4 linked regions of the Danio rerio genome follow. The protein of the gene in region 2 purifies or fractionates together with the protein of the main gene of each other region. This does not show direct contact. Links are inferred from orthologs where the notes say so. Each region holds a gene or a part of one and is shown on either strand. Other genes may lie near its edges.

The links. The genes of interacting proteins can lie anywhere in the genome.
Region 1: the proteins of prkag3b (region 2) and pip4p2 purify together in Homo sapiens (affinity purification with mass spectrometry; 3 studies listed by BioGRID and IntAct, with this or other methods). This does not show direct contact. The link is inferred for Danio rerio from reciprocal best matches to the Homo sapiens genes PRKAG3 and PIP4P2.
Region 3: the proteins of prkag3b (region 2) and pfdn1 purify together in Homo sapiens (affinity purification with mass spectrometry; 3 studies listed by BioGRID and IntAct, counting the BioPlex papers as one, with this or other methods). This does not show direct contact. The link is inferred for Danio rerio from reciprocal best matches to the Homo sapiens genes PRKAG3 and PFDN1.
Region 4: the proteins of prkag3b (region 2) and pfdn6 purify together in Homo sapiens (affinity purification with mass spectrometry; 3 studies listed by BioGRID and IntAct, with this or other methods). This does not show direct contact. The link is inferred for Danio rerio from reciprocal best matches to the Homo sapiens genes PRKAG3 and PFDN6.

Annotation. Positions count from the first base shown.
Region 1 is NC_133194.1:33,870,331-33,873,851, reverse strand, and holds part of pip4p2 (type 2 phosphatidylinositol 4,5-bisphosphate 4-phosphatase), read right to left. Parts: intron 1,049-3,521; coding exon 900-1,048; intron 1-899. UniProt on the Homo sapiens protein: Catalyzes the hydrolysis of phosphatidylinositol-4,5-bisphosphate (PtdIns-4,5-P2) to phosphatidylinositol-4-phosphate (PtdIns-4-P).
Region 2 is NC_133184.1:14,255,781-14,259,301, forward strand, and holds part of prkag3b (5'-AMP-activated protein kinase subunit gamma-3b), read right to left. Parts: exon of another isoform or gene 3,276-3,521; intron 2,617-3,275; exon of another isoform or gene 748-2,616; coding exon 582-747; intron 485-581; coding exon 447-484; intron 1-446. UniProt on the Homo sapiens protein: AMP/ATP-binding subunit of AMP-activated protein kinase (AMPK), an energy sensor protein kinase that plays a key role in regulating cellular energy metabolism.
Region 3 is NC_133196.1:32,808,141-32,811,661, reverse strand, and holds part of pfdn1 (prefoldin subunit 1), read left to right. Parts: coding exon 1-132; intron 133-211; coding exon 212-296; intron 297-3,521. UniProt on the Homo sapiens protein: Binds specifically to cytosolic chaperonin (c-CPN) and transfers target proteins to it. Binds to nascent polypeptide chain and promotes folding in an environment in which there are many competing pathways for nonnative proteins.
Region 4 is NC_133189.1:35,056,854-35,060,073, reverse strand, and holds the end of pfdn6 (prefoldin subunit 6), read left to right. Parts: intron 1-221; coding exon 222-292; intron 293-2,212; coding exon 2,213-2,337; intron 2,338-2,435; coding exon 2,436-2,556; 3' UTR 2,557-2,717; downstream 2,718-3,220. UniProt on the Homo sapiens protein: Binds specifically to cytosolic chaperonin (c-CPN) and transfers target proteins to it. Binds to nascent polypeptide chain and promotes folding in an environment in which there are many competing pathways for nonnative proteins.

The DNA.
Region 1 (3,521 bases), on a different chromosome or scaffold from region 2:
ACACATAATAGGACACAAACCGTTCAAAAGTTTTGTCTCATCAGTCCACAAAATATTTTCCCCAAAGTGTTTCCCAAAACTGAGACGAACCTTTGTGTTCTTTTTGCTCAGCAGTGGTTTTTGTCTTGAAACTCTGCCATGCAAACACTTTTTGCCCAGTCTCTTTCTTATGGTAGAGTCATGAACACTCACCTTAACTGAGGCAAGTGAGGCCTGCAGTTCTTTGGATTCTTCTTTTCTAACCTTTTGGAAGAGATGTCGCAGGTCATTTTGGTGGCCGACCACTCCTGGGAAAATTCTATACTGTCCTACGTTTTTGCCATTAGTAGATAATAGCTCTCACTGTGGTTTGCTATAGTCCCAAATCTTTCTAGATCTCAATATTTTTTTCTTAACTTGTTTTTGAGTTTTCTTTAGATCTCTGCATGATGTCTAATTTTTGAGGATCTTTTGGTCTACATCACTTTGTCAGGCAGGTCCTATTTTAGGTGATTTCTTGACTTCGAACAGGTGTAGCCATAATCAAGCCTAAAAATTGAACTCAGGTGTAATAAACCAGAGTTAAGTTATGTTTAAACAGGTGAGGGTTGTGTGTGTGTGTGTGGGGGGGGGGTGTAATAGTGGAAACACTTTTAAACATAGGGCTAAGTAGTTTTTTATTTTGTTTTCCCTTAATAAAAAAGCCTTTATTTAAAAACTAAAAACTGCATGAAGTGTTTATTTGTGTTTTCTTTGACTTAATTTTGACTAAATTTGTTGGATGATCAGAACTTTTAAAGTGTGAGAACATGCAAAAAAATAAGTGAGGTGGCAAAAGCTTTTGGTTATTAAATCAAAGAGAAAGATGGTGGACTAAAGGAGTGCATGACTAAGCGCTATCTGCAGTCAGGTTCTCTTACCGTGGCCTCATTACAGACGGTGCACTTCACCACATGCTGATGGAGTTTGCCATCCAGAGTTATAAGAGATTGGCACACTCGACAGTTGATGACTGGCACTCCTCCTGCATCTGGACTGGCAATGGCTGTGTAGGGCGGAGGTAATTCAGCTGCAGATGAAGACAAAAAACAAAATACAGTCTTTCAGCTGACCTGTCACAATAATAGATCAATTGTCTGATAGTAGTTATTTGCTGTGCAGTATAGGTTTCACATATGATAGGTTTGAGCACATAAACAAAAGACAAGCAATGATTTATGTGCATAATGCTCAGAAACATTTACTGGTTTTATGTTAAAGACCCTTAATCTTTCACACACAGTTAATGATAAAACAAGGACACACTTATTTATATGACCATCAACTGGTGAGTATCTTCCTTGAGCAAAAACATTTTTACATAGAATTACAGAAATCTCTAATTTGCTCTGAAAACATCATGTATCATGTAAGTTAGAATAAAATATAACAGTGCAAAAAATTAATAACAACAAATCTCCTTTTAAAATCATTTGTTTAATAATCAATCGTTAGGACAAAATTGATGAACATTCATGGTCACATGACATTGACAATTATTTAAAACAACAAAATTCCCTACAGAATGCAAAAGTCAGGTTATGAACATAATAGTAAAAAAATAATTAGAAATTGTAGTTTTTAACAATAACCGAAAAACTTTAAAGACATGCAGAGGTTGTTAATCGACTGTATATGTTCACATGAATTCAACTTATTTTAAAGCAATCTCTCATTTTGTGCACTTTGCTTGCTGTAACTTTCTGACTAAGAAAAGTTTTTGAGGAATCATATATGGTTATTGACAGTGATTACAATCAAATAAAAAAGTCATTTAAAGTTCAAAGATCTAATAACCCCCAGGCCTAGTTTGACAGGTCTTGTAAGACTCCAGATTTTTTCCCGGTGAGTATGCAGGGTTTTCCTATCAGTGCTCTATAAAGAAATAATAGTAGAATTTATTAACATGATGTAGTGTACAACATGGTGTATTTTTTTCTGCTCAAATTTGCATATTAACTTTGACAATTTCTACCAATCAGAGAGGTGCAGGTAGCAAAGTGCATTGCAAACTCAGCTCCACCCACTCCCATGAAGCATGCTTGAAACATGATGGATACAACCAACGACTTTAAATGAACAATTGTATAGTTCTCCAATCATTTTAAATTGTAACATTTGCATAACTTCATGGGATTGTAGTTCTTTGCCTCTATTAGGTTGTCAAGTCTTGTACTTTTGTTTTTATCATGTTTTTATATGTTTCTTTGCTTCAAATGAAATTCATAATGTTGTGATTCACCATACAGTTGGTTGGTTTGGTTTGTGGCTCATAACACTTTAATCATAACACTTTAATCAAAAGATCTAAGATAAAAAACAATGGGAAAAATATTTTCAAATCCAGTACTACTGAAAAAGTTACAAAATCAAGTACATTTTCTCATGTTCGAGATGTTGTCACTGGGATTTACTTCACAACAGTGAAAAACAAACTATTATTGTGTCTATGTAATGTTGACTTTAAAATATTTTTTTACTTTAATAATACTACTGCATAAATAAATCAGCTACACTCTATGAAATAACTTATGACATCTGTTATCATGGGCCCCACCTGTAATTATTTATGATCATAGATTTTTACTGGGGCACATGCCCTATATCCAACCACATTGGCTAGCCCGCGTGGGGCCCACCTGTAATTGTTTATGATAATACTTTACATTTAAGTACAGCAGATTTCTTTGAACTTTTTAAGAACAGTGCTATTTTTAATTAACTTTTAAAATCACATTTTTATTTATCACATATTTATTATGTATTTATTATGTTTAAAGTGGCTGACAATAATAAATATTCATAATAATAATAATCAATCTGCCACATTTGTGAACTGTGCAGTAGCCGCTTAATTAGGCTTACTATGTATTTCAATACCAGTCATTATGGTGGTACTTGAAGAGACAAGTTTTCCTGAGGTGGTACTTGGTGAAAAAAGTTTGAGAACTACTGGTCTAAACAATATTTTTTTAGAGTGGAGTTCAATCCATAAACCCACACTTTGTATCATTATCTGCTTATTGTCTGCATAAAAGACCCTATCCATGTGTGACTTTTTTAACTTTATAGAAGTAAAGTATAAACTGGCTTGAGTAGTGCAAGTATTGGATTGTTAACGTACATTCAGCTGGCCATTATTGCAAAATAACCCCAGACAGGGTGACTGGGTTTTGTTTAAGAGGCTAATTTTGCCATGATGACCAGCTCAGTTCTATTATTCCATGTATTATTCCTCTATTGCATGGCTATTTATCAAATACATAATTGAAAGAGCATGAAATATTGATTTGAGTTTAAATAACTCAATTATGTGAGAAGAAAGAAACCACAGAGGAATAATAGAGACATGAAAGAAGAGCAGTTCACAAGAATTTAGCGGTCATTACACAAAAATCTTTGACTTTGAATGCCACAATTGACCAATAAGCCATATAAAAACCAAGGAGAATCCTTTTTCTCAATCACAGAGCCATAAAAATGAATCAAAGTCATCTAGACAT
Region 2 (3,521 bases):
AAAATGTATACAGGGGCACGTAGCCATAAACAGCCTGGGTTGGTAATTTGTGTATCTCTTAGCCTAATAATAATAAAAAATTACTTTATGTTTAAGTTACACACATTACATGATATGGTAACACTTAAGGTCACAATTCACAGTATTAACAAACCATTGACTAACATTACTAGCTTTAATAAACTACTAATTATAGCTGTTTATTAAAAGTAAGTAAGGTTCTGGGTTTAGGTTTTGGGTGGGATTAGGGTTGTAAAATAAGATCATACTTTATAAGTCCTTATAAAAGGTGAATATCTTACTAATAGTCAATTATTAAGCCAGTTGTTAATCTTATGAATTGTGATCCAAATTAAAAATTGTTACCCATGATACAAATCAAAAACAAAAAAAGCAACAAATAAATAAATTTATTAATTAAGAGGTGTGGATGTGGGTCTACGTACAATGACATCAAATCTGGAGTAAAGTGCCACTACTTTGCCTAGAGAGAAGGAAAAATCTCAATGACCACTCTGAAGTAAAAGGTGTGCAAATCATTTAGCTACAGAAAAACTAACTCAAACAGTTATGCGTAGTACCTTGCTCATTGACCACAGGTAGAGCTGAGACTCGTCGCTCTACAAATATTGTTAAAGCATCATAAACGGTTTCTGTCTCCTTGACAGTCGCGATGCTCTTGAAAGTCCCGATTTCCACTTCCTCAATCCGCTTCTGTAAGAATCTTGGCTTTGGGATCATCGAGCCCTAAGATTCACCAAGAAAATGTTCATCATTAAAAACACAGTTATGGTTTAACCCATTGTACTAGGATACACATTAATGGTGGCAAACATACACTTGAAGTAATTTGTAGTCATTTTGGATATTAACAATCTGTAATTTCTAACCATATTACATATTTCATTAGCTAAATGATGGCTAATTTGTCAAACCCTCATGTAAGATCAGTTTAGTAGTGGGTTAGGGATGTACCTTAAAGAGATCACCCAAAAATAAAAATGGACTCACCATTTACACAAACAAAAAGTGGTTCTAAAGCGTTATTTTTGTATTAAAATATAAAAAAAGAATGCTGAAAACATGTCACTTTCATAGTAGGAAAAACAAATACTATGGAAGTCAATGGTTACCTGTTTCAAGCTTTAAAAAAACTCATAAAGGTTTGTAACAAGTGTGGTGTAAACAGTAAATGATGATATAATTGTTATTTTTGGGGTGAATCATGTCTTTAATGTCTTTTTTATTATTTTAATAGCATGATTTGTACATTTTCATACAAATCACAATTTAAAATCATAAAAAACGGACATATTGTACAATAATTTTTTATGAGACTGGAATGTAAGAGTTAAAGGGGTGGTCCACTACAATATTATATTTTAAACTTTAGTTGATGATTAATGTAGCTGTGTGAACATAAACAACATCTCTTAATAAGACGCTCAAAGTTCAATGCAAAGGGAGACACAATAGCTGCGTCCCAAATGGCACACTATACACTATGCACTCATGCACTATGTACTTATGCACTTACACACGCAACAGGATAGTATATGTATTTAGTGGCATCCCAAATGGCACACTAATGTTTTTTTACCAAGCGGAAATTCAAACCGTTTCCCTGATGACGTTTGACGGTTGCCAATCAGTGAAATAAACAACCGAATTATCATATAATACCTGCCATGAATATTGCCGCATTCACCATCGGGAGGCGCTATAATCACTTTCATAGGAGAAATTTGCTTTCACCATCCAAAATAAATAAAGTTATAGAACATGTGCGTCCGATAGCTCTGCCCCTTTCCGCTACGTAAGCAAACCTGCAGTCGTTGATTGCATGAAGTGTCCATCATTATGTAACCCCGTCGGTCCTACGCCACCCAACCCGCTCCAAGCTGGTATCGAATCGGCAACATTCCGCATGGGAGTCGGTTGCTCTAACAAGGAGGCTAAAGACCATGGCCTCTAGCATCGGTCACTAGACACCTTTAGAGGTCAGAGGAGTGATGTTTACCTGCACAGCTCTCACTAGCTGGCCTCCGTTACACACACCCCCCTAAACCTCACTCCCATCCGGGTCACGGCACCAATGTAACCCTGCCGGTCCTACGCCACCCAACCCACTCCAAGCTGGTATCAAACCGGCAACCTTCCGCATGGGAGTCGGTTGCTCCAACAAAGAGGCTAAAGACCATGGCCTCTAACGTGGATCACTAGAGCACCTTTAGAGGTCAGAGGAGTGAGGTTTACCTGCACAGCTCTCACTAACTGGCCTCCGTTACAATTACACACTTCATTTTAGTGGCTGAATGAGTGCATCATCCGGGTAATTAAAGTGCACTTATTATTTTTAGAGTTTTCAGTGTGAACACACTACTTTCAATATTTATACTACAAAATGGCGTAGAATAGTGCATAGGTATGCGATTTGGGGCGCAGCTATTGGCTTTTACAGTTAGCTTAGCAAAGCCTACAGCAAACAAAGTTAGGGGGCTACAAAAAAATACATACAGGTGAATGATGCCATAAACCCTTCAGATTATGCACATACAAACTGCGCAGCGAAGGGGTGTGGTCAGAAACGATGTAATGTTATAACAGAGATGCATCCTCTCTGTTATACTCTCTACTAGCTGGGCTTCCAGCTAACTCTATCAAGCCTCTTCAACTGCTCCAGAATGCAGCAGCACGAGTGGTCTTCAATGAACCTAAACGAGCACATGTCACTCCGCTGCTATTCCGTTTGCACTGGCTGCCAGTTGCTGCTCGCATCAAATTCAAAGCTCTGATGTTTGCCTACAAAGTGACTTCTGGCCTTGCTCCTTCTTATCTGCTCTCACTTCACTGCAGATCTAAGTGCCCTCCAGAAACTTGCGTTCTGTGAATGAACGTCGCCTCGTGGTTCCATCCCAAAGAGGGAAGAAATCACTTTCGCGAACGCTCACACTTAATCTGCCCAGTTGGTGGAATGAACTCCCTAACTGCATCAGAACAGCAGAGTCACTCGCTACTTTCAAGAAATGACTAAAAACTCAACTATTTAGTCTCCACTACACTTCCTAATCTGCAATTCCCAAAAAAAAAAAAAAAAAAAAAAATACTAATACTACTAATACTTCCCTTCTTAGACTTTACAGACCTGAAACTTGCCTATAGCACTTATTCATTGTTGCTCTTAGTTGTGTAAATTGCTTCCTTGTCCTCATTTGTAGGTCGCTTTGGATAAAAGCGTCTGCTAAATGACTAAATGTAAATGTAAATGTAAATGCATCCTGATGAAGCAGAGCTGATATGTAAATCACAGCATATTATGTTAGAAGACCAATCAGAGGCTCTTGAGGGTGGGTCTTCAGAGGAACTAGGAAATATATCAGTCATTTTCATGTTAGCTGAGTAGCTGTATATAATCAAAGTTGGATATTTGAAATAATGACAGGATTTTCTACCAATGAAGCATGAGCACACATTGCTTTGCATCTTATAAACACAACCAAGCCAAACTGGACCACCCCTTT
Region 3 (3,521 bases), on a different chromosome or scaffold from region 2:
TCAGCAGAAGGTGAAGCTGGCAGACCTGCAGATCGAACAGCTGAGTCGTGTAAAGAAGCACGCAAATCTCACGCATGGAGAGATTACATCACTTCCTGAAAGCACTCGGATGTTTGAGGGAGCAGGACGGATGTATGTATAATTCTGGAGGTTTCAAATCTGGACCCTTTACTCTCTGTTGTTTTGACCTTCTCTTCCTTCCTTTATTCAGGTTTATTTTGCAGTCAAAAGGTGAGATCTCTAATCAGCTTTTGGAAAAGCAGAAGACGGCAGATGACAAGATAAAAGAGCTTGAGGTAGGTTATGAGCAAAAAAACAAATATAGTTGCTTATATTAAATCTACTTGTCCGACAAAGAACTGCTTATCAAAATACAAAGGATAGGTCACCTTATTTTAACATTTTTTACTTGCTGTTAAAAAAAATCTATGAAAGTCATAATTAAATAAGATATACACTCGGCGGCCACTTTATAAGGTACACCTTACAACTATCGGGTTGGAACCCCTTTTGCCTTCAGAACTGCTTTAATCCTCCAGGGCATAGATTCAACAAGATACTGGAAAATTTCTCAGAGGTTTTGGTTTATATACTGACATGATAGCATTATACAGTTGCTGCAGATTTGTCGGTTGCTTATCCATGATACCAATTTCCCGTGCCACCAAAGGTGCTCTGTTGGATTAAGATTGGGGGACTGTGGCCATCTGAGTAAAGTGAACTCATTGTCATGTTCAAGAAACCAGTCTGAGATGATTCATTTGACATGGCATGTTATCCTGCTGGCAGTAGCCATCAGAAGATTGGTACACTGAAGTCATAAAGGGATGGACATGGTCAGCAACAATACTCGGTCAGGCTGTGGTGTTGACATGATGCTCAATTGGTACTAATGGGCCCAAAGTGTGCGGAGAAAATATCCCCCACAACATTACACCACCACCACCAGCCTGAACTGTTGATACAAGGAAAAATAGATCCATGCTTTTATGTTTTTGATGCCAAATTCTGACCCTACCATCCAAGTGTTGCAGTGAAAATCGAGACTCATCAGACCAGGCAACATTTTTCTAATCTACATTTGCGCCCACAGAACTGCCGCTCACTGGATATTTTCTCTTTTTCGGACCATTCTTTATAAACAATAGAGATGGTTGTTTGTGGAATGCTCAGTAGATTAGGTTTCTGAAATACTCAGACCAGCACGTCTGGCACCAACAACCATGCCACGTTCAAGTAATTTAAATCACCTTTCGTCCCCATTTTGATGCTTGGTTTGAACTGCTGCAGGCTGATTAGAAAAACTTGTGATAACGAACAGTTGGATAAGTGTACCTATTAAAGTGGCCGGTGAGTATATATATATATATATATATATATATATATATATATATATATATATATATATATATATATATATATATATATATATATATATATATTTATATATAAGTATATAGAAGCTTCTGGTTTTTCTAGTCTTTTGTGTTCATCAAGAAAAAGAGATTAAAAAAAAATTGAAAGTGAGTAGATGATGCCAGAATTTTCCTTCTTTTATCATCTTAAAATTCTGAATGGATTGTAGTGTTTTTAGTATCCATCAGCTAGGAAAATGCTAATGAAAAGCATTAAATAATTAAATGCTAATGATAAACAGAACATTATCATGCATTAGTGTGGATGCAAAAGGTTTTTTTCTTTTAACAATAAAACTGTGGGTTGGGGGGGGCACGGTGGTCTCAGCAAGATGGTTGTTGGTTCGAGCCCTGAAGGTGTTTCTGTTTGCATGTGCTCTCCGTGTCTGCTTGGGTTTCCTCCACAGTCCTAAGCGTGCTGTATAGGTGAACTGAATACACTAAAATGGCCATAGAGTGTAAATAAGAGAGTGTGTAAGTGTTTCCCAGCGCTGAGGGTTGGGGATGGGCATCGGCAGGTAAAACAAATGCCAGAGTAACTGCAGTTCATTCAGTGGCGACCCCTGATAAAGCAGGAAATAAGCACATAGTTTGTACGCCACGCAGTATCAAAATCACAGCAATTATACTCTAATGTAATATCACAAGCTGCGTCACACATATAGGAGGTTTAACCTGATTGGTTAGAACACAGATAGACTTAGACAATCTCAACATGTGTGCGTAAAATTCTAAACAAAATCACCAATGATTACTTTGGCGACAAGCAAAGAAGTCTCCTCCGATGAAGAACACACACACACACACACACACACACACACACACACACACACAAAGAATGCTTATAGACTTCAAGGATGTCTTGTATCTTATCAGAATGGTACAATAAACATCTTTATACTGGCAGCTAACTAATACAAAGAAAGTCTCTCTCATACAATAGAATCTCAAAAGATTTGACAGGTTTTTGTTTTCATCAAAATCCAGTTTCATATGAGAGGTCGTAATGAATGAGCCTGAAGTTCCTGAGGAAAACGCATAACTTGGCATACAGAAATAACAACGAGACCCATATCATTCCAGTTTTACTTCAGTTTTCAGAGTTTATACTCATATTGCTTGACGCTTTTTGCAAGTTTGGCATCCTATCCTGGGAGAAAACCCTGAGCTTGGAGATGATTGAGCATGGCTCCTGCCTTGTCATTTAGCATAAATGGAGTCCAAGATTAGTTAGATCTCAAGAGCTCCCCCTGGTAAACAGAGGAAAAGGAGGAGATGGGGCGGAAGGGGTGATTCTTCCATAACAAAGATAGGGCAAGTAAGGTGAAATCAGTCTATTTATTGTAGACTTGGATCGATATGATTAGATTATCGCTGCTTACGGACGAGAGACCAGCCGCGATCAATCATATCACGTGCTCCTGTCAAAATTAGTTTATAAAATTTTACTTAACCCTATGGTCATCATATAATCTAAACATTTAGAACAAATTCAACTTTATTGATAATCATATCACAGAAAGGATCTTTTGCCAGTCCTATAGCTGTCATCATCTAGATACCCACCCTTTCAATGCAAACTTTGAGACAACCAGTCCACCCTATTATTGTAAAATGATTATTTATTTAAGCTCATCGCACACTGGATGCAAAATTCCACACCACGTCTTTTAGAATAGTAAACATTGTCATCTATGAGAGTACGCTCATCAGCGTCAAAATTTTGCCTTCTTTTCTTTTTTGTATTTCTTAACAATGTTTTGTTTTTTTTTTTTTTTTTAAAGAATACAATGTAAAGAGGGTGTGTGGAGTGTCTGGACCCCCTTTTACACTATACTTTGTTACAGCAAAAAGTATTTAGTTACTGTAATGCATTACTTTTCTAACTCATAAAGTTCTAACAATGGCAATCAAAGGTGACAGATTTTAACTAAGATCTATTATAGAAATCTTTTCCAAAGTTTGACTCAGATGACCAAATAATGGCCAAATTTACATCATAAACTCGGCTTTAGTGAGACCTGAAATGGGATTGTCAGACAAATAAGAGTGTGGGGTGGGGACTTCAGAAATTCAGAAAACGTATAAAGTGCATAAAATGTATAT
Region 4 (3,220 bases), on a different chromosome or scaffold from region 2:
AAAAATGTTTTGTTCCCTTCCATTACTAAAAACATAGCAATTTCTTATATACATGTTATTTTTAAATTATAAAAATATAGCTTTTTTAAAAACCTTTTTTAAATGTTATTATTCTGTAATGTCATCGTTTATATAAAATGTGTTGGCTGGCATAATTTCTTAGCACTGATTTCTGTAGAGTAGCGATTAGAGACTAAATTTAATGCCATTTTATTTCACAGATGTCAGTAAAAGTATGTCAGCAAGACAGAAACTGGAGGCACAGTTGACTGAAAATAACATTGTAAAGGAGGTAAGTTTAAGAGTGTTCTATATCTTTTATGGTACATTTCAGTTAGTATATGGTTAGATTTTAAAAAATGCTGGGTTCCACACAATTGCTTCATGTTGTCCCAAATCGAACGGATTAAGTTAACTTAAATGTTTTTACAAACTGAAGTGCATTGAACATAAAACAATTAAGTTGTCGCTAAAAAAACACAAGAGTTGTGTTGTTTCAGCTAATTTTACAAGTGGTTTGAACAAGTAGCAAAAATCCTTTTTTGAGTGTATGATCAAATCTATACAGGGCTGCACAATATTGGAAAAATCTGATATTGCAATCTTTTATTTTTCTGTGATAAATATTCAATAGTTATACAATATTTAAATTTATGTATAGTTTCACTAGATAATTTGAATAGCCCTATTTTCTATTAGTTTTATAGGGAGTTAAACAATATTCAGGAACAGAAATTCAGTAATCACAATACAAAAAAATATATATATATATTTTTCTTGTCTCGTTTCTTGTCCAAATATCTAAAAAATCTTGTAGATCAAGTAAAAAATATTCTTATGAAAGAAGATTCTTATAAAATGAGAGGTTTTCCCTTAATACATGCTAAATTATCTACCAATGAGGTCATTCAAATTCCTATTTCCTCTTTGAAATTGAGATATTTGGGCTTGAAACTAGACAAAAATTCTAAGTAAAAAAAATTTTTTTCTTACAAATAATTAAATTCAATTAATTTTACTTAAACCTCTAAACATCATTGTGCCCAACCTATCTTGAAATGCTCAGTCAAAGGCCTTAAAAACACATACGCTGATTTAACTTAGCAGTGACACAAATCAGATGTGTTCTGTGGCTCCTAGACACCTGTAATTCAGACTCAACATTGCAGATCTTGTGATGGGTCTATTGCAGATGCGCACATTGTCAAATCGATGCTGAAATGATATACACTACCTGACAAAAGTCTTGTCGCCTATCCAAGTTTTAGGAAAGGCAAATAATAACTTGACTTCTAGTTGATCATTTGGTATCAGAATTGGCTTATATGAAAGGCAAAGGCCTCTAGATTACACTTATTTTACCAAAATAAAATACGATCATTAATTAGGACAAGAAGGTCTGACTTTGCTTAGACAAAAGTCATGTCACTTAACAGAAATAATGTACAGTATAGAATATAACGTCATGGTGCAGTGGAAAAATAATCAATATTGTGTATGGCTCTCATGAGCTTGGAGGTCTGCATCCATACATCTCTGCAATGATTCCATTAACTTATTAACAATGTCATCTGGAATGGCAAAGAAAGCGTTCCTGCAAGACTCCCAGAATTCATCAAGATTATTTGGATTCATCTTCATTGCCTTCTCCTTCATCTTACCAAAAACATGCTTAATAATATTCATGTCTGCTGACTGGGCTGGCCAATCTTGGAGCACCTTGACCATCTTTGCTTTCAGGAAGTTTGTTGTAGGGGCTGAAGTATGAGAAGGAACGCTATCCTGCTGAAGAATTTCCAGTTTACCCTCTCCTGTGGTTTGTAATGTAATGGGCAGCAAAATGTCTTGATACCTCATGCTGTTGATGTTGCCATCCACTCTGCAGATATCTAGCACACCCCCATACTGAATGTAACCCCAAACTATGATTTTTCCTCCACCAAACTTGACTGATTCTGTGACAATATAGGGTCCATGCGGGTTCTATTAGGTCTTCTGTAGTATTTGTGATGATTGAGATGCAGTTCAACACATGATGATTCATCAGAAAAATCTACCTTCTGACACTTTTCCAAATTATCAACTAGAAGTCAAGTTATTATTTGTTGCTCTTAGAACTGGGAAAAACGTCAAGACTACTGTCAGGCAGTGTTTTGTGCAGCCCTACTATACACATTCATCATGTTATATCACATCTGCCATCCCTCTTCAGGAGCTTGCCTTACTGGATAGCCAAAACACAGTTTACAAACTAATTGGACCGGTTCTGGTCAAGCAAGATCTAGATGAAGCCAAGGCCACAGTGGGAAAGAGATTGGAATACATCAATGGTGAAATGTAAGTATGATTAATGCCAGCTCACATTACGTTTCATTGAATGCGGATGCCGCAGTTGATTCTGATGTAACTGAGTATTTCTCTGCTCTTCATCTCAGTCAGCGCTATGAGACTTTATTGAAGGAGATGGAGAGGAAGTCTGAGCAGCATCGGGAGGTTTTGTCCAGTCTCCAGCAGGAGTACCAGCGGGCTCAGGGTCAGGCTGTTGCCAAGGCCTAGATGGACCATAATTCTGTTTGGGACACTGGTCTTTTCCAGCGGAACTCAGAGACTGATTGCACCTGCTAAAAACACATGCTTCTTCACATGTCTATTACAGTTCTGTAGGCTTTTTTTGTTTGTTTGATGCTATTAGGCTATCAATAAATCTTGATTATTTATTTTTGGTGTCCTGCTGTTTATTTTGACATGCTGAGAGTGAGATTCAGAGCATGCTAATCCACAAATTTTTGTAATGGGTTATTTTGTGATGCAGGTCTAAGCTGAATAATTAAAAAGAATTATTAGCTTAGCTTTTGACTAAGCGTTAAGTTATCATTAAAATAAAGAACATGAATAGGGTATATATGCACACAGACTAGGGTTGGATTAATATACGATGCCATCTCGTAGACATCAAGATGCTGAGCCAGCATCGCGATCCTCCACCCTGCCCCCGTCGAAAACCTGCTCGTGAAAAATACACACTTAGGCCCTTTTTACACTAATGCGTCTTAGTTTTAAAATGCCATTTTAGAATGAAAATGATTCACGTCCACGCTGGTGTTTCATCTAGCATTTCTGAACAGCCCGTCTGAGCTCCAGGCAATCAGCAGGTGCTTTGAGCGCAAAACCCCAGAGAGCAGTGCACGTTGGAAAGTTATCTAGGATGTACCGCTAAATT